3 linked regions of the Callithrix jacchus genome follow. The protein of the gene in region 3 interacts with the protein of the main gene of each other region in a biochemical or structural test. Links are inferred from orthologs where the notes say so. Each region holds a gene or a part of one and is shown on either strand. Other genes may lie near its edges.

What was found. The genes of interacting proteins can lie anywhere in the genome.
Region 1: the proteins of LRRK1 (region 3) and TCF25 form a complex in vitro, tested with the Homo sapiens proteins (2 studies listed by BioGRID and IntAct, with this or other methods). The link is inferred for Callithrix jacchus from reciprocal best matches to the Homo sapiens genes LRRK1 and TCF25.
Region 2: the proteins of LRRK1 (region 3) and ECHS1 form a complex in vitro, tested with the Homo sapiens proteins (2 studies listed by BioGRID and IntAct, with this or other methods). The link is inferred for Callithrix jacchus from reciprocal best matches to the Homo sapiens genes LRRK1 and ECHS1.

The regions. Positions count from the first base shown.
Region 1 is NC_133521.1:47,506,734-47,512,652, forward strand, and holds the start of TCF25 (ribosome quality control complex subunit TCF25), read left to right. Parts: upstream 1-1,910; 5' UTR 1,911-1,962; coding exon 1,963-2,154; intron 2,155-2,221; exon of another isoform or gene 2,222-2,452; coding exon of another isoform or gene 2,453-2,461; intron 2,462-5,919. UniProt on the Homo sapiens protein: Component of the ribosome quality control complex (RQC), a ribosome-associated complex that mediates ubiquitination and extraction of incompletely synthesized nascent chains for proteasomal degradation.
Region 2 is NC_133513.1:126,691,808-126,697,689, forward strand, and holds the start of ECHS1 (enoyl-CoA hydratase, mitochondrial), read right to left. Parts: upstream 4,010-5,882; 5' UTR 3,993-4,009; coding exon 3,905-3,992; intron 496-3,904; coding exon 298-495; intron 1-297. UniProt on the Homo sapiens protein: Converts unsaturated trans-2-enoyl-CoA species ((2E)-enoyl-CoA) to the corresponding (3S)-3hydroxyacyl-CoA species through addition of a water molecule to the double bond.
Region 3 is NC_133507.1:8,918,528-8,922,463, forward strand, and holds part of LRRK1 (leucine-rich repeat serine/threonine-protein kinase 1), read right to left. Parts: intron 2,624-3,936; coding exon 2,450-2,623; coding exon of another isoform or gene 2,446-2,449; exon of another isoform or gene 1,181-2,445; intron 838-1,180; coding exon of another isoform or gene 753-837; exon of another isoform or gene 548-752; intron 239-547; coding exon 1-238.

The DNA of each region.
Region 1 (5,919 bases), on a different chromosome or scaffold from region 3:
AGCCCCCAATAAAATCAGCCAGCTTCGGCTGTGTGTGTGTGTGTGTATTTCTTTTTGAGACAGAATTTTTTTTTTTTTTTTCCAGAGTTTGGGTCTTGTTGCCCAGTCTGGAATGCAATGGCGTGATCTCTGCTCACAGCAACCTCTGCCTCCTGCTGGCCCTGTATTTTTATTCCTGTTTAAAACTAAGAAAACAGTCATGCACGGTGGCTCACGCCTGTAGTCTTAGCACTTTGGGAGGCTGAGGTGGACGGATCACGACGACATGAGCTCGAGACCAGCCTGATCAACATGGTGAAACCCTGTCTCTACTAAAAATGAGCCAGGTGTGGTGGCACATGCCTGTAATCCCAGCTACTCGGGGACTGAGGGAGGAGAATTGCTTGAACCCAGGAGGCAGAGGTTGTAGCAAGCCAAGATTGTGCCACTGTACTCCAGCCTGGGTGACAGAGTGAGACTCCATCTCAAAAAAATAATAAAAAATAAAACAGGCACAAAGAGGGTCAGGAATTTCCCCTGGTCACATAGCCAGCAGTAAGAAAGCTAATGTGTAGCACTCAGGACAACTGTGGTTCTCCTGGTTCCACAGGGGCTTACACTCCCTATCATGGGAAGACTGGGTTGTCATCCATACAGGAACACTTGGAAATGAAAGCCCCCATCAAAACCCTAACCCAGGGCAGGCACAGTGGCTCACGCCTGTAACCCCAGTACTTTTGGAGGCCGGGGCAGGTGGATCAGTTAAGGTCAGGAGTTGGAAACCAGCCTGGCCAACATGGTGAAACCCCCTCTGTACTATGTAGCGTGGCATGGTGCTGCATGCCTGTAGTCCCAGATACTTGGGAGCCTGGGAGTTGGAGGCTGCAGTGAGCCGAGACTACACCAGTGCACTGCAGCATGGGCGACAGAGCAAGACTCTTCTCAGAAAATAAAACCCTCACCCACCCTGGGAGGGGCGGGGCCGGCCCACCAGCGCTGTTTCCTGGGCTCAGGAGGCTGCTGGCACCCGTCTTCTCTGTGCCCGCCTGGCCCGAGGTCCCCAACCTCGCGCATAGGAAGCTGTGCCGTCCGCCCACTGAACCGAGCCCCGTCTCAGCCTCCTCTATTTCATCTGTTTTTCATTTTTTTGAGACGGTCTGGTCCAGTCCCCCAGGCTGGAGTGGAGTGGCGCGATCTCGGCTCACGGCGGCCTCAGCCTTCGGAGTAGCTGGGATCGCAGGCAACGTTTTGTATTTTTAGTAGAGACGGTTTCACCATGTTGCCCAGGCTGGTCTGGAAACTGACCTCAGGTGATCCGCCCGCCTCTGCCTCCCCGGGTGCTGGGATTACAGGCGTGAGCACCGCGTCCGACCCTTAGATCGTGGTAAACGCGGCGGCGTGTCCTACAACTGCTCAGAAGCCCTGTCCCTAAGGAGGCCGCGTCCGTCACCGGTGCGCGAGGCGGCGGCGGCTCCAGGCCACGGCAGAGGCCGCCATCGACGGCCAGATCACTCGACTACGGTGACACGAAAAGAACCAACGAGCAGCGCCCGGGACGCAGCTGAAACGCTCCAGGCCCGGAGCGGGGACAGGCCCTGGCGGCGGTACCCGGCGGGCAGAGCGCGGCTGCGGGGTCCGGGCCACACGGATGGGCAAGGCCTGCCAGGACCGAGTGTCGCCCGCTGCGCGCCCCTTCCCCGGCATCAAACCCCGTCATCCCCGCGGGGCACAGGTGCCTAGCGCTCCCAAAACCTGACCCGGACCCGCCAGAGACCGCCCACACGCCACGGCTGAGGCGGGGAACTTCCGGAGAGCCGCAACGCGCAGGCGCCGTACGACAGGCCCCGCCCCCGCCGCTCGCGCCAGGAGTGCGCAGGCGCCGCAGCCAGCGCCCCCCGACGCCAGGAGCGCGCAGGCGCGCGGTCCGCTGAGTTTTCTGCGCTTCCTTCTCTCTCTCTCCAGACGTCGTGGTCGTTGGGTCCTATGTCGCGCCGGGCCCTCAGGAGGCTGAGGGGGGAACAGCGCGGCCAGGAGCCCCTCGGGCCCGGCGCCCTGCAGTTCGACCTCCGTGATGACGATGACGCGGAAGAAGAAGGGCTCAAGCGGGAGCTGGGTGGCCGGCGCCCCGGGGAGGCAGGGAAGGAGGGCGTCCGAGTCAACAACCGGTTCGAGCTGGTGAGGATCGCGGCGGCCGGGGTGGGGGCGGGGTGGGCCGTGACGTCGCGGGGCGTGGCGAGCGTCCAGTCTGGTCGGGGAACGGGGGTCGTGATACCAGGGGTGGATCGGGTGACGTGGGTCCCGGCTGCAGTGGGGAGGGCGGGGCCGTGCGTCGGGCCGGGGCGATGGGGGTGGGCGGTGGCGTGAGGTCGAGATAGCTGGACGCAGAGTTACATTGGGTTCGAACCCCAGTGAGGTGGGCGGGATCATACTACCGTCATGGGGCGGGGCCATACCGTCGGAGCCGGGCGACCGAATGACGGGGGTAAGCGGGGCCCGGGCTGTGAAGGGGGTGCGGCCATGATGCGAGGGGCGTGGTCAACGTCCGTGGGGCGGGGCCACGACGTAGGCGGGGTTAAACGGGGGTTCTGGCCAGCGGAGCGAGGGTGGGGCCTTGACACTAAAGTGCGTGGCCAAGGACATGGGGGAGAGGTGATGGCGTGGGCTGGGTTAACTGGGGACTGGGGCCACCGTGGGGGTGAGGCCATGGGGTAGGGGTAGGGGTGGGGCGCAGCAGTGCAGTGGGTCTTCTCCGAACTTGAAGGGCCTTCTCTTGGTTCTAGGGTTGAGCACTCTCGGTCAATCCTCACAACAACCCTGCCTAACCCAAGGCCTCCTGTCTTGCTCCTCGCTGTATCTCAGGCTGCGTGTTTCTGGCACAGAGTAAATGGTTTGCCCATGCGGTCCTGTGAGGCTTTGTCTTAAGTCCTGGCCTTGGTGTGTAACTTGGCCTGTGCGGGCTCTGCAGTCCTCCCACCTCAACCTCCTGAGTAGCTGGGACTACAGGTGCATGTCACCATGCCCAGCTAATTTTTTTTTTTTTTTTTTGTAGATTTGAGGTTTCGCCTTGTTGCCCAGGCTGGTCTAGAATTCCGGGGCTCAAACATCTGTCCACCTCAGCCTCACAAAGTGCTGGACTACAGTTCTGAGTCACCATGCTTGGCTGACTGCCTTTCTGACATCAATTCCAACTTCAGGGTCCCCAAGACCACCCTCAAGTTTCAGTAATTGGCTAGAATCACAGCAGTTACTGAAAACTTTTTTTTTTTTTTTTTTTTCCTGAGATGGAGTCTTGCTGTTGCCCAGGCTGGAGTGCTGGCACAGTGCTAGCTCACTGCAGCCTTGAACTCCTGGGCTCAAAGATTCCTCTCACCTGGCTTCTCAAAGTGTTGGCATTATAGGCGAGCCACTGTGCTCAGCTCCGTAAGTCCTTTTTTTTTTTTTTTTGAGATGGAGTCTTGCTCTGTTGCCAGGCTGGAGTGCAGAAATGCGATCTTGGCTCACTGCAACCTCCACCACCCGGGTTCCAGTGATTCTCCTGCATCAGTCTCCTGAGTAGTTGGGATTACAGCTGTGCGCCACCACGCCCGGCTAATTTTTGTACTTTTAGTAAAGACAGGGTTTCACCATGTTGACCAGGAAGGTCTCCTGACCTTGCGATCCGCCTGCTTTTACCTCCCAAAGTGTTGGGATTACAGGCGTGAGCCATGGAGCCTGGCCCCCCCATAAGTCGTTTTAATTTTGTCAATATAATTTGTCAAAAATTGTATCACATTATTTTATTTTACACTTTGTTAGTGAAATTCAGCAGGTAGCTATGTATTTGTTGATTTGTTGGCCTTTTATAGTCTCTTTGTGACAACCCTTTTATATCCTTTGCTTTTTTATAGAGAGTTTAAAAAGTCTTTATGTTCGTGAAAGCTCACTACCGATTCTCTTTAACGTATTTTCTCAGTTTGCATTTGTTCTTTCACTTCCTTAATTTCTGCCGAAAGATACTGGAGCCGCTTTTGTAACTGTTACAAGTCGGTCTCTCTGTGATGTCTTCACATAGATCTTTCCTGATGTGACTTTATGCAGAGTCTTGTCTTGTTTTTTTTTTGTTACAGACAGGGTCTCTCTGTGTTGCCTAGGCAGGTTGCTGGTCTTGAACACCTGGGCTCAAGTGACCCGCCTGCTGCGGCCTCCTGAGTAGCTGGGACTATGGTATACCATACTGTGGCCAGCTTGTTCTTTTAGTGCTTTTGTTTTTCATTTAAATATTTAATCTTCTTGGCATTTATGTTTGTGTTGGTGGGAATTTGGAAAAAGTGTGGCTTGTAAGTTGATGGAATAAGAGTCCCTAAGGTCAGAAACCACATTAACCCTTGTGGACTTCCTGGAGTGAGTTTGGAGTGTCAGTAACACTGACAGCCTGCGTGGATGAGTGACTGCTCACCGTGCTTGTGTTCTCAGCCATGTCAAGGAGTTTTATCCCATGGTACACGTCAGTCCCATTTTAAGCATTCTATATTTTTTTGCCTTTATAACTCACATTTGGAAATAATACAATGGAAATGTTTATTGGTGTTCTGCTGTGAAATTAGCTCGTAAGAAACAAGTGTGAGAGACATTAAACAGACACTTAGAACTGAATGGTTCTAAATGTGAATACTTTGGTGAGAGACACGGTGTGTCTCTTTTTTAAAAAAAAAAATTATTTATTTTTTGTTAGTTCATGTCTTTTATTAACTGTTACTTGTCTTCTGGTTTGTTGAAGCGGTAAGACAACATTTGCCACAATAATGTCTGTCAAAGTGGCTTGCACCACGTTCATCAGAAGGGCATTCTCTACAAAGGTGACTAATTCTGCCACTCTCATCCCCCTTACGATATTTCAGGACAGCCAGCCTAAACTTCTTTCTCTTGCGCTTATTCTTCGTGGGGTGGCGTAAGACTCCTTTTTCCTTTCCTAGCACCACCTCTCAACACAAGACAAGAGTAGTCTCCTTCTGAACGTTGTAGTCAGACAAAGTACGTCCATCTTCCAGTTGCTTGCCAGCAAAGATCAGTCTTTGCTGATTGGGAGGAATTCCTTCCTTATCATGAATCTTGGCCTTTATATTTTCTGTTGTATCCGAGGGTTCCTCGAGGGTGATGGTCTTCCCCGTAAGGGTTTTCATGAAAATCTGCATTTTGGTGGCGGCCCTACCTGAGGTGCAGATGGCGGATCAAAAAGGAAGCAAAAATTTATTTTTTTATTTAGAGACAAGATCTCCTTATGTTGCCCATATTGGTCTTGAACTCCTGGGCTTAGGAGATACTTCCACCTTGGCCTCCCAAACTGCTGGGATTACAAGTGTGAGCCACTTCACCTGGCCAGTATGGGGGTCTCTAAATGTCAGTTGACAGATCATTTGGAGGGCAGTTTGGTAAAACCTTAAATGACCTAGCAGTTTCCCTTTAGGAATTTACCGTAAGGTACGAGTTTGCTCACTCAGTGCAAGGATTTATTACACAGATGTGTTACAGTGTTGTTTATAATGAAACTTTTTTTTGGGGGGGAGACAGAGTCTTGCCCTGTCCCCCAGGCTGGAATGCAGTGGCGTGATCTTGATCTTGGCTCACTGCAGCCTCCCGCTCCTGGGTTGAAGCAATTATCAGGCCTCAGCCTCCTGAGTAGCTGGGATTGCAGGCTCCTGCCACCACTCCTGGCTAATTGTATTTTTAGTAGAGCCAGAGCTCTCAAGGTGGGGGAAGGGTAACCGTCACCGGAGCTGCCGAGGGTGGGGAAGACCTTCCATTCTGACTAGCTGGAATGCAGAGGTGTCTTTGAAAACACTGGGTCTTCAGCAGAGGCTTTAGGAATGCTGTTTATCAGGAGTAGGGCTAAAGGAACCCTTCAGTAAAGAATACGCTAGTCTGGGCATGGGGCTCACACCTACAGTCCAGCACTTTCAGAGG
Region 2 (5,882 bases), on a different chromosome or scaffold from region 3:
GTGTCACGTGGAGCACTTCTGGCGTACACAAGGCTGCTGGTGCCACGTGGAGCACTGCAGGCGTACACAAGGCTGCTGGTGCCACGTGGAGCACTGCAGGTGTACACAAGGCTGCTGGTGCCACGTGGAGCACTGCAGGTGTACACAAGGCTGCTAGTGCAAGCAGCTCCCACGACCATCTCCACTGTACGTCTGAATAAATCCCCAACCGTGTGCTTTGCCTCAGAGAGGTGCAAGTCAGGCCACACGTGCCTCCCCCATCAGCCCAGGTGCAAAGGCCTCCACTGCTGTGCACACCTGCAAAGGCCTTATCCCCGCCGGTGAGGACAATGGCCCCCACGGCCGGGTCCTCCTGGAAGGTCTTCAGTGCCTGATTGAGCTCCTCAATCAGCCCATTGCAAAGTGCATTAAGGGCCTTGGGGCGGTTCAGCTTGATCAACCCCACGGTGTTATTCTTCCCCCTTTTTTCTGCGATGATGTACTCAAAGTTGGCACCTAAGGCGAGAAGGCAGAGAGGGGATCTGTTCATACAGGGATCAAACTGAGGAGAGCGGGCGAGAGGGCACAGGGGGATCTGTTCACACAGGGATCAAACTGAGGAGAGTGGGCGAGAAGGCAGAGGGGGATCTGTTCACACAGGGATCAAACTGAGGAGAGCGGGCGAGAGGGCAGAGGGGGGATCTGTTCACACAGGGATCAAACTGAAGAGAGCGGGCGAGAGGGCAGAGGGGGGATCTGTTCACACAGGGATCAAACTGAGGAGAGCGGGCGAGAGGGCAGAGGGGGATCTGTTCACACAGGGATCAAACTGAGGAGAGCGGGCAAGAGGGCAGAGGGGGATCTGTTCACACAGGGATCAAACTGAGGAGAGCGGGCGAGAGGGCAGAGGGGGATCTGTTCACACAGGGATCAAACTGAGGAGAGCGGGCGAGAGGGCAGAGGGGGATCTGTTCACACAGGGATCAAACTGAGGAGAGCGGGCGAGAGGGCAGAGAGGGGATCTGTTCACACAGGGATCAAACTGAGGAGAGCGGGCGAGAGGGCACAGGGGGATCTGTTCACACAGGGATCAAACTGAGGAGAGCGGGCGAGAGGGCACAGGGGGATCTGTTCACACAGGGATCAAGCTGAGGAGAGCGGGCGAGAGGGCACAGGGGGGATCTGTTCACATAGGGATCAAACTGAGGAGAGCGGGCGAGAGGGCAGAGAGGGGATCTGTTCACACAGGGATCAAACTGAGGAGAGCGGGCGAGAGGGCAGAGGGGGATCTGTTCACACAGGGATCAAACTGAGGCGAGCGGGCGAGAGGGCAGAGGGGGGATCTGTTCACACAGGGATCAAACTGAAGAGAACGGGCGAGAGGGCAGAGAGGGATCTGTTCACACAGGGATCAAACTGAGGAGAGTGGGGGCTGGTCTTGGCCTATCAGGAAGCAGCGTCATCATTTCACATTGTGATTATTTCCTGATGCTCCCTTCTAGAAGGGATGTGGCCCCATCAGCGGATAGAGTGTGACCCCAAGAGGCCCTCCGAGGGCTCCCTGAGCAGTGCTCAGTGGCTCCAGGTGTAGCTCTCAGCCACATGATTATATGGTGGCCTTGGTACGGTTCTCTCTGTTTTCACGTGTGTTTGAGCATGTCCTGAAGAAAAATCCCCAGCACAGAACATAGCCCAGAGCCACACTCCTTCTCCCAAGAGGCCGTGGTCAGCTGTTCCCAGGACACTGCACTGGAGACGGCCCTGGACTCTGCTGAGACAAGGCACCAGGAAGCACCCTCCTTCGACAAATGCCAACAATCGAGGGTAAGCCTCAAACAGGACAGAGCGCCAGCTCCTTGCTGCAGGTCGGGGTCAGGTGAAGGTGCGGGGTCAGGCGGGAGGGGTGAGGGTCGGGGTCAGGTGGGGATGTGGGGTCAGGCGGGGATGTGGGGTCAGGCGGGAGGGGGATGAGGGTCGGGATCAGGTGGGGGTGTGGGGTCAGGGGGGAGGGGGATGAGGGTCGGGATCAGGTGGGGGTGTGGGGTCAGGGTGGAGGGGGATGAGGGTCGGGATCAGGTGGGGGTGCGGGGTCAGGCAGGAGGGGAGAGGGTCGGGGTCTGGTAGGGGTGCGGGGTCAGGCGGGAGGGGTGAGGGTCGGGGTCAGGTGGGGATGTGGGGTCAGGCGGGAGGGGGATGAGGGTTGGGATCAGGTGGGGGTGTGGGGTCAGGTGGGAGGGGAGAGGGTCGGGGTTAGGTGGGGGTGCGGGGTCAGGGGGAGGGGTGCGGGTCGGGGTCTGGTAGGGGTGCGGGGTCAGGCGGGAGGAGGATGAGGGTCGGGATCAGGTGGGGGTGCGGGGTCAGGCGGGAGGGGAGAGGGTCGGGATCAGGTGGGGATGTGGGGTCCGGCGGGAGGGGGATGAGGGTCGGGGTCAGGTAGGGGGTGCGGGATCAGGCGGGAGGAGTGAGGGGGTCAGGTGGGAGTGCGGGATCAGGCGGGAGGGGGATGAGGGTCGGGGTCAGGTGGGGGTGCGGGGTCAGGGGGAGGGGTGTGGGTCGGGGTCTGGTAGGGGTGCGGGGTCAGGCGGGAGGGGGTTGAGGGTCGGGGTCAGGTGGGGGTGCGGGGTCCGGCGGGAGGGGAGAGGGTCGGGATCAGGCGGGAGGGGGATGAGGGTCGGGGTCAGGTGGGGGTGCGGGGTCAGGCGGGAGGGGTGAGGGTCGGGGTCAGGTGGGGATGTGGGGTCAGGCGGGAGGGGGATGAGGGTCGGGATCAGGTGGGGGTGTGGGGTCAGGGTGGAGGGGGATGAGGGTCGGGATCAGGTGGGGGTGTGGGGTCAGGGTGGAGGGGGATGAGGGTCGGGATCAGGTGGGGGTGCGGGGTCAGGCAGGAGGGGAGAGGGTCGGGGTCTGGTAGGGGTGCGGGGTCAGGCGGGAGGGGTGAGGGTCGGGGTCAGGTGGGGATGTGGGGTCAGGCGGGAGGGGGATGAGGGTCGGGATCAGGTGGGGGTGTGGGGTCAGGTGGGAGGGGAGAGGGTCGGGGTTAGGTGGGGGTGCGGGGTCAGGCGGGAGGGGAGAGGGTCGGGATCAGGTGGGGGATGTGGGGTCCGGCGGGAGGGGTGAGGGGGTCAGGTGGGGGTGCGGGATCAGGCGGGAGGGGGATGAGGGTCGGGGTCTGGTAGGGGTGCGGGGTCAGGCGGGAGGGGTGAGGGTCGGGGTCAGGTGGGGATGTGGGGTCAGGCGGGAGGGGGATGAGGGTCGGGATCAGGTGGGGGTGTGGGGTCAGGTGGGAGGGGAGAGGGTCGGGGTTAGGTGGGGGTGCGGGGTCAGGCGGGAGGGGAGAGGGTCGGGATCAGGTGGGGGATGTGGGGTCCGGCGGGAGGGGTGAGGGGGTCAGGTGGGGGTGCGGGATCAGGCGGGAGGGGGATGAGGGTCGGGGTCTGGTAGGGGTGCGGGGTCAGGCGGGAGGGGTGAGGGTCGGGGTCAGGTGGGGATGTGGGGTCAGGCGGGAGGGGGATGAGGGTCGGGATCAGGTGGGGGTGTGGGGTCAGGTGGGAGGGGAGAGGGTCGGGGTTAGGTGGGGGTGCGGGGTCAGGCGGGAGGGGGATGAGGGTCAGGGTCAGGTGGGGGTGCGGGGTCCGGCGGGAGGGGAGAGGGTCGGGATCAGGCGGGAGGGGGATGAGGGTCGGGGTCAGGTGGGGATGTGGGGTCCGGCGGGAGGGGTGAGGGGGTCAGGTGGGGGTGCGGGATCAGGCGGGAGGGGGATGAGGGTCGGGGTCAGGTGGGGGTGCGGGGTCCGGCGGGAGGGGTGAGGGTCGGGGTTAGGTGGGGATGTGGGGTCCGGCGGGAGGGGGTGCGGTCTGAGGTCTGGCCGGGGGTGCAGGTCGGAGTCGGAGGGGATCCGGGTCGCCGGCTGTCACCGGGCACTCACCCGAGGCGAAGGGACGCCACACCGAGCTGTGGATCGGGGGCCTCAGTGGGCCGCGGACGCGGGGCAGCAGGACACGAAGAGCGGCCATGGCTCTCTCCACTATTCGCCCGGCCCGGGAGCCGCCCCCGCGCCTCACCACTCAGGGCTCGCCCCGCCCACAGGCCGGTGCCGCGAGACCAGGAGGGCATCGCGAGATCGGCCCGGGCGGAGTGGGCGGGGCGTCCTCCTGCAGGCCCCGCCCCCAGCGCCGCGCCCGCTGGCGGATCTAAGGGCGCACCTGGGTCCTCGTCCTGGGCCCAGCACCCTCCAGGCTCCTCCGCCTTCTCCCGCGCCTCCGCCCAGGCCGTCGGGGTGCCGGCCGGCCGCGGGGAGACCGCGCTGATGCGGGGCAATGGCGGCGCCTGCCCGGGTCCGCGTCTGCAGCGCCCGGCGCGGGACGGTGGCAGCGGCCTGGCCATTGACGCCACATGAGCAAGAGTTTCATTTTCAGGTACATAGGACTTAAGCACATTTAAACAATCAGTGCAATTTTGATCCATTATTTTATTTATAACTTTTCAATATCTAGACCAGTATCGTCGAGCATCTACTTTGTGTCCTTGCCCGGATTCTGCAAAAGCCAGGGTGGACGTAAAACATCTACAAATGGAAAGCGAACTGCTGCTGTGACCGGCGAAGGCTGCCCAGGTTCCTGACGTCTTCAGCAAAGAACTGGACAAAACGCACATCGAAGCAAGGAAAGACTGAAGCAGCGAAAACAGATTTATAGGAACATGACAGTGTGGCGGGGTGCGGTGGCTCTCGCCCGTAATCCCAGCACTTTGGAAGGCCGAGGTGGACAGATCACCTGAGGTCAGGAGTTCCAGACCAGCCTGGCCAACGTGGTGAAACCCCCTCTCTACTAAAAATTCAAAAAATTCGCTGCGTGTGGTGGGGCACGCCTGCAGTCCCAGCTACTTGGGAGGCTGAGGCAGGAGAATCGGTTGAATCCGGGAGGTAGAGGTTGCGACGAGCTGAGATCACACCACTACACTCCAGCCTGGGCAACAGAGCAAGACTTCATCTCAAAAAATAAAAGAAAAAAAGAGTGCTTGCTTTGGCAGCACATATGCTGAAATTGGAATGACACAGAGATTGGCATGGTTCCTGTGCAAGCATGACCTGAAAATTAATGAAGTGTTCCATGTTAAAAAAAAAAAATGGCCAGGCACCGTGGCTCAAGCCAGTAATCCCAGCTACTCAGGAGGCTGAGGCAGGAGAATTGCCTGAACCCAGGAGGCGGAGGTTGCGGTGAGCCGAGTTCGTGCCATTGCACTCCAGCCTGGGTAACAAGAGCGAAACTCCGTCTCAAAAAAAAAAAGTAACTTCACAGTGTGTGTGCAGCCGAGAGTAGGGGCTAAGGGCCCCGTTACACAGCTTTTTGGGGGGTTTAAATACCCTCTAGGAGTTTTCACTGGTTCCTTGGTGTACACCCTATATAAATGGAGAGGACATTTCCTGTCACAGCTGGTGTTTCCATTTGATTGAGTTCTAGGGAGTCAGCCTGAATTGCCCCTAGGTTCCTGGCCTCCAGACCCTGTTCTCCTCCTCACTATGTTCCAGAAAATAATTCAGTTCAAACCAAAAATGAACACACACCAAGATTTCATTTCAAGACTGAGGGTGAAATAAAGACATCTCGTGTAAGCAGAAAGAAATAACCAACAAACCTTTACTAAAAGATGCTCTGTATTAGTGTAGGTTAAACCTCTGGGACAGAGAGGCCCAAAATGAAACAGCTCAAACAGAAAAGAGGGGTCTCTTTTTCTTCCTTCCTCCCTCCCTCCCTTTCTTTCTTTCTTTTCTGTCTCGCTGTCACCCAGGCTGGAGCGCAGTGCTGTGATCTTGGCTCATTGTAGCTTGCACTCCCGGGCTCAAGTGTTTCTCCTGCCCCAGACTTCTGAGTAGTTGGGACTACAGGCACGCACCACCATGCCTG
Region 3 (3,936 bases):
TGAGACCATGGTGTCATTGCAATCCAGCCTGGGTGACAGAGCAAGACTGTGTCTCAAAAACAAAAACAAACATGCAAAAAAACCCCACAAAGATTCTTGTCTGTGTGTCCAGTGACAGTGCCTGACACTTAGTAGGTATTCAAGAAGGAGTTGCTGGCCGGTTAATCTCTGCCAATCCGAGGGTGGTAAGTGACATTTTACTGCTGTCTTCAAGTCTTCAGGTCTGTTTCCTTGCTGTCTGGTGAGGTCAAGCATTGATGTTTAAGGGTCTGTTTCTTTGTAATTCAATTGCTGCCCATGCCCTTAACCTGTTTGCCTTTTGGGTTTTCTATTTCTTATTGAGTTTATGTTCTCTCTAATAAAGGTAAGTGAGCTCTTGGTCTCTCATTTGTGTTGCAAATATTTTTTTCTTCCTCAATCGATACTTTCAAGCTTTGGACTAATTTTTCCATGTAAGTTTCAGTTTCATGGAGTCGAGTTCATTAGTCATTTCCTGTATGATTTTTTTTAAGAGTTGGGTCTTGCTGTGTCACCCAGGCTAGAAAGCTGGTGTGATCATAGCTCACTGCAACCTCCAGCTCCCGAGCTCCGTGGATCCTCCTGCCTTGGCTCCTGGGTAGCTGGGACTGGAGGCCCATACGATTTCTAAGTGTGGTGTGAAGAGATCCCTTCCCCTGGCTCTGTGAGGCCCGGGGCTGGGCTTTTCCTGGAGTAGGAGAGGGCGAGTTTGGTGCCTACAAAGCAGTGTGGCTTCAGGTGATGCCAAGTACAAGCTTGGGACGTGGGGCAGACAGAATCTGGCTTGCATTTGGGGGTGAACTGGGCAGCTGTGGTGCACTGGAAATGAGAGGAAAGGGAGAATTGGTCCCCTGCAGCCATCCTGTGGGACGAGGGTGAAAGAATGGCAGGGAGGAGGGCAGTAAGCACAGACCCTCAGCCCCCTGGGACTTGGTGCCCAGACTGGTAAAAAGAAAAAAAAGTGGGAATTGTTGTTTTTTCCAGGGCTGTGACTGACAGAGCAGGGTCTCCACCCATGGAAGCTGCTCAGGGACCACCTGCATGCAGGCACAGTGGGCGAGGAGGGGCTGCCCGTTACTCCCAGCCAGCGAGTGGGTCCGGCAGGGGCTGAGCCTGTGCTGTGGTCATAAGCGCTCGAAAGACAGAGGCTACAGCTTCATTCTTGAAAGAATCTGTTTATTTTCAGGTTACAAGAGCCTCATCTCCCTGCATCTCCAGCAAATACACAGTTTGATCTTTATAATTTTAGAAAAGGGTCAAGAAACTTCAGCTGGAGTATGATCTCTATTCAAACTTGCGTTCTGATTGAAGGAGCCCCAAACGGTAACTCTGGACAAAAAAGTGGCTCTGTTTGCACGTGCGTGTGCCTATGTGGTGTGCCTGAGCGTAATGCATGCACGCGCATAATTTATAACATATTTGCTATTGTATCCGTAAATCCTGTTGACAGTTTTTCTTTTCGTACTCTGCTGTACACGTGTGGAGTGAATGTTTAGCAAATACATAATTTGGTATAAATCCCATACAATCTGATTTCACAACCAGAAGCCTGACCGCTGAGATATTACTGAAGTTTTTAAAGTGATAAACAAGATTATTATGTGCAAACAAACAGGGTTTGTGCTCCAGCTGCGTCCAAATTTACTTCACAAAGCTGTAAACACAAGGCCCTTTCTCAAGTACTGCTGATTGAGTTTCTCCTTCCTTTTGTCGCTGGAGAAGAATGTAAAGGCTGAGCTGGTGCCCTTGTACTATGGAACCCTGGGTTTTCTGGCTGTGAACTTAAAGGAACTCATTCATTCTCTGGATGGGGGCAGCACTACTCACCCAGGGTCCTCGGAGGGCTTTCCCACACAGAGACCTTCCTGAACACAGAGACATCTGATCTTGGCTTGCCCAAGCTGGCCCAGGCCTGGGGGCCTCAGGAGCTTGTGAAATGTGCTGAGAGCCTGGGGTCTCCAGGGGGGAAAGGGCAGGGGTCACAGCCCCCACCTCCTGCTCTACCTCAACTGCTTCCCAACAGAGGGCCCCTAGTGTAATTCCATCTGAGACCTGGGGATGGAAGGAAGGCCTGGCCCGTCTTTGTTTGAGCCAGCTCAGAATAGGATCCTCCACCCTTGCTCCAGGAGACTGATGGAGGAGGCCAGAGGAGGCCCCTCCCAGCCAGATCCCACTGTCTTCCCTGGGGCTGTAAAATCAGCAGTCGGGGTATGGGGTATTCAGATAACTCTGTTCCAGAAAACCGGAGAACCCTGGAACCACCACCACCAGGCAGGTCACTTCTCAGCACTTCTTAGCAGCGAGGAGTTCAATGGTGAACTCCATCTGTCTTCTAGGGCCTTGGAGAACTAGAGGCTGATGGCAGAGGGGTCAGGCTGCAGCCCGGTACCAGCCAGCTCTGCACGCGTGACTGTCATTCCACAGGAATTACCTTCTCTTGCGTGTGCAAGCCTCCAGCCGGCCCAACTCCTCGTAGGACTGGTAGAAAATGTCAAACTCCCTGGCGCCCCAGCCCCTCCAGACAGCCAGGCACCACTCCGTGTTTTCGTTTTCAAAGCTGCACACCACCGTGTCCTTTGCCACCACAGCAGCATCCACCAGCACCCTGCAGAGAAAGGGGTCTGAGGAAACTCACAGGGGTCCGACTTGGGTGGGGCCGGGACCCCCATCCGGTGCCATCTGAGGAAGGCAGAGCTGGCTAAGGGGACGGGAATGTGTCTGCCTGCCAGTCCTCTCCCAGGTGTGCTCAGATGCACCACTTCTCCTGAGGGCCCCGCCTATGAGCCTAGGCTTTATAAAGAGCAAAGTCGAGCTGTGGGCATGAGTTCATGTCCATGAGCTTTTTCTGTGCGAATCTGACTCCCTGGAAGGCCACAGAGGCAATCAGATCAGGCATCCTTGACTCGGTCCCCAAAGGGTCTTGAAAACACCCTCGACCCAAATGTCTGCTTGTGAATGGCTCATGACCGCATTTAACTCAACTCCCTTGCCACTAAGCTCCCTGTGATTCTTCTCTCCTTAGGAAATGCAGGATCATATACTACATGGGAAACCTACTGCCCCAGTCAGCAGTACGTTTTTGGAAACTGGACAGTTTTGCAGGACCGGTAGATGCGCAGCAAGTTTCCTTTTGGGCCACAGTGTGGCCTCCCTGCCCTGGGGGTGCCCCACCCTGAGCACCTACTAACTGCCCTTCCTCCTCTGTGCTGTGTGTGTGTGGCCTGCACAGCGCCAAGGCGCTCCTGCAAATTGGGATGTCCAGAGGCCTCTACTCCACATGGCCTTGCCAGGGCCCCCTTTAGACTGGCTTCTGGGGCCTCTTTCTCCCTGTGGTGGGAAAAAGGTAAAATCTGGCTTTAGGGGACAGAAAAGCAGCAACAGCTAAAGGTTAGGATGGTAATGGCAGGTGCGCCAAGGACCTGGGTGCTGCACACCCATTTCCTCCAGAAGCCCGACCTGCAAGCTGGCAACTCCATCAGCTCCTGGCTGCCATCCACGGGCTCCACCAGAGCTCAGGAGCACATCCAGATCTTGCTTCCAGAATCACTTACAGAGCAAGGGTCACTGGCCCAGGACTCACTGCAAAGGTTCAAAGCTGGTGGGCACGGGAGTGGGATGTCATGGTTGCTGCCTTGGTCATGGTCCCGCTCTGGGAGAAACACACTGACCAGGGTTTCTTCACCCTCTTATGCTCCAGATGAAATAAAAACCCACTTGCCCACGGATGGGGATAACGCATGCTGCAGGGAAACAGGCCTAGTGCAAAATGGAAGAGCTCCAAGGTACACACACACACACACACACACACACACACACACACACACACTTGAGGGCTTCTCATAAGAGAGATTTGCCATGTGGGGCTCAGTTGTCAAAGTGAGGGGAGTAAACACGGTGTGGAGCTGCAGCTGGCACAGC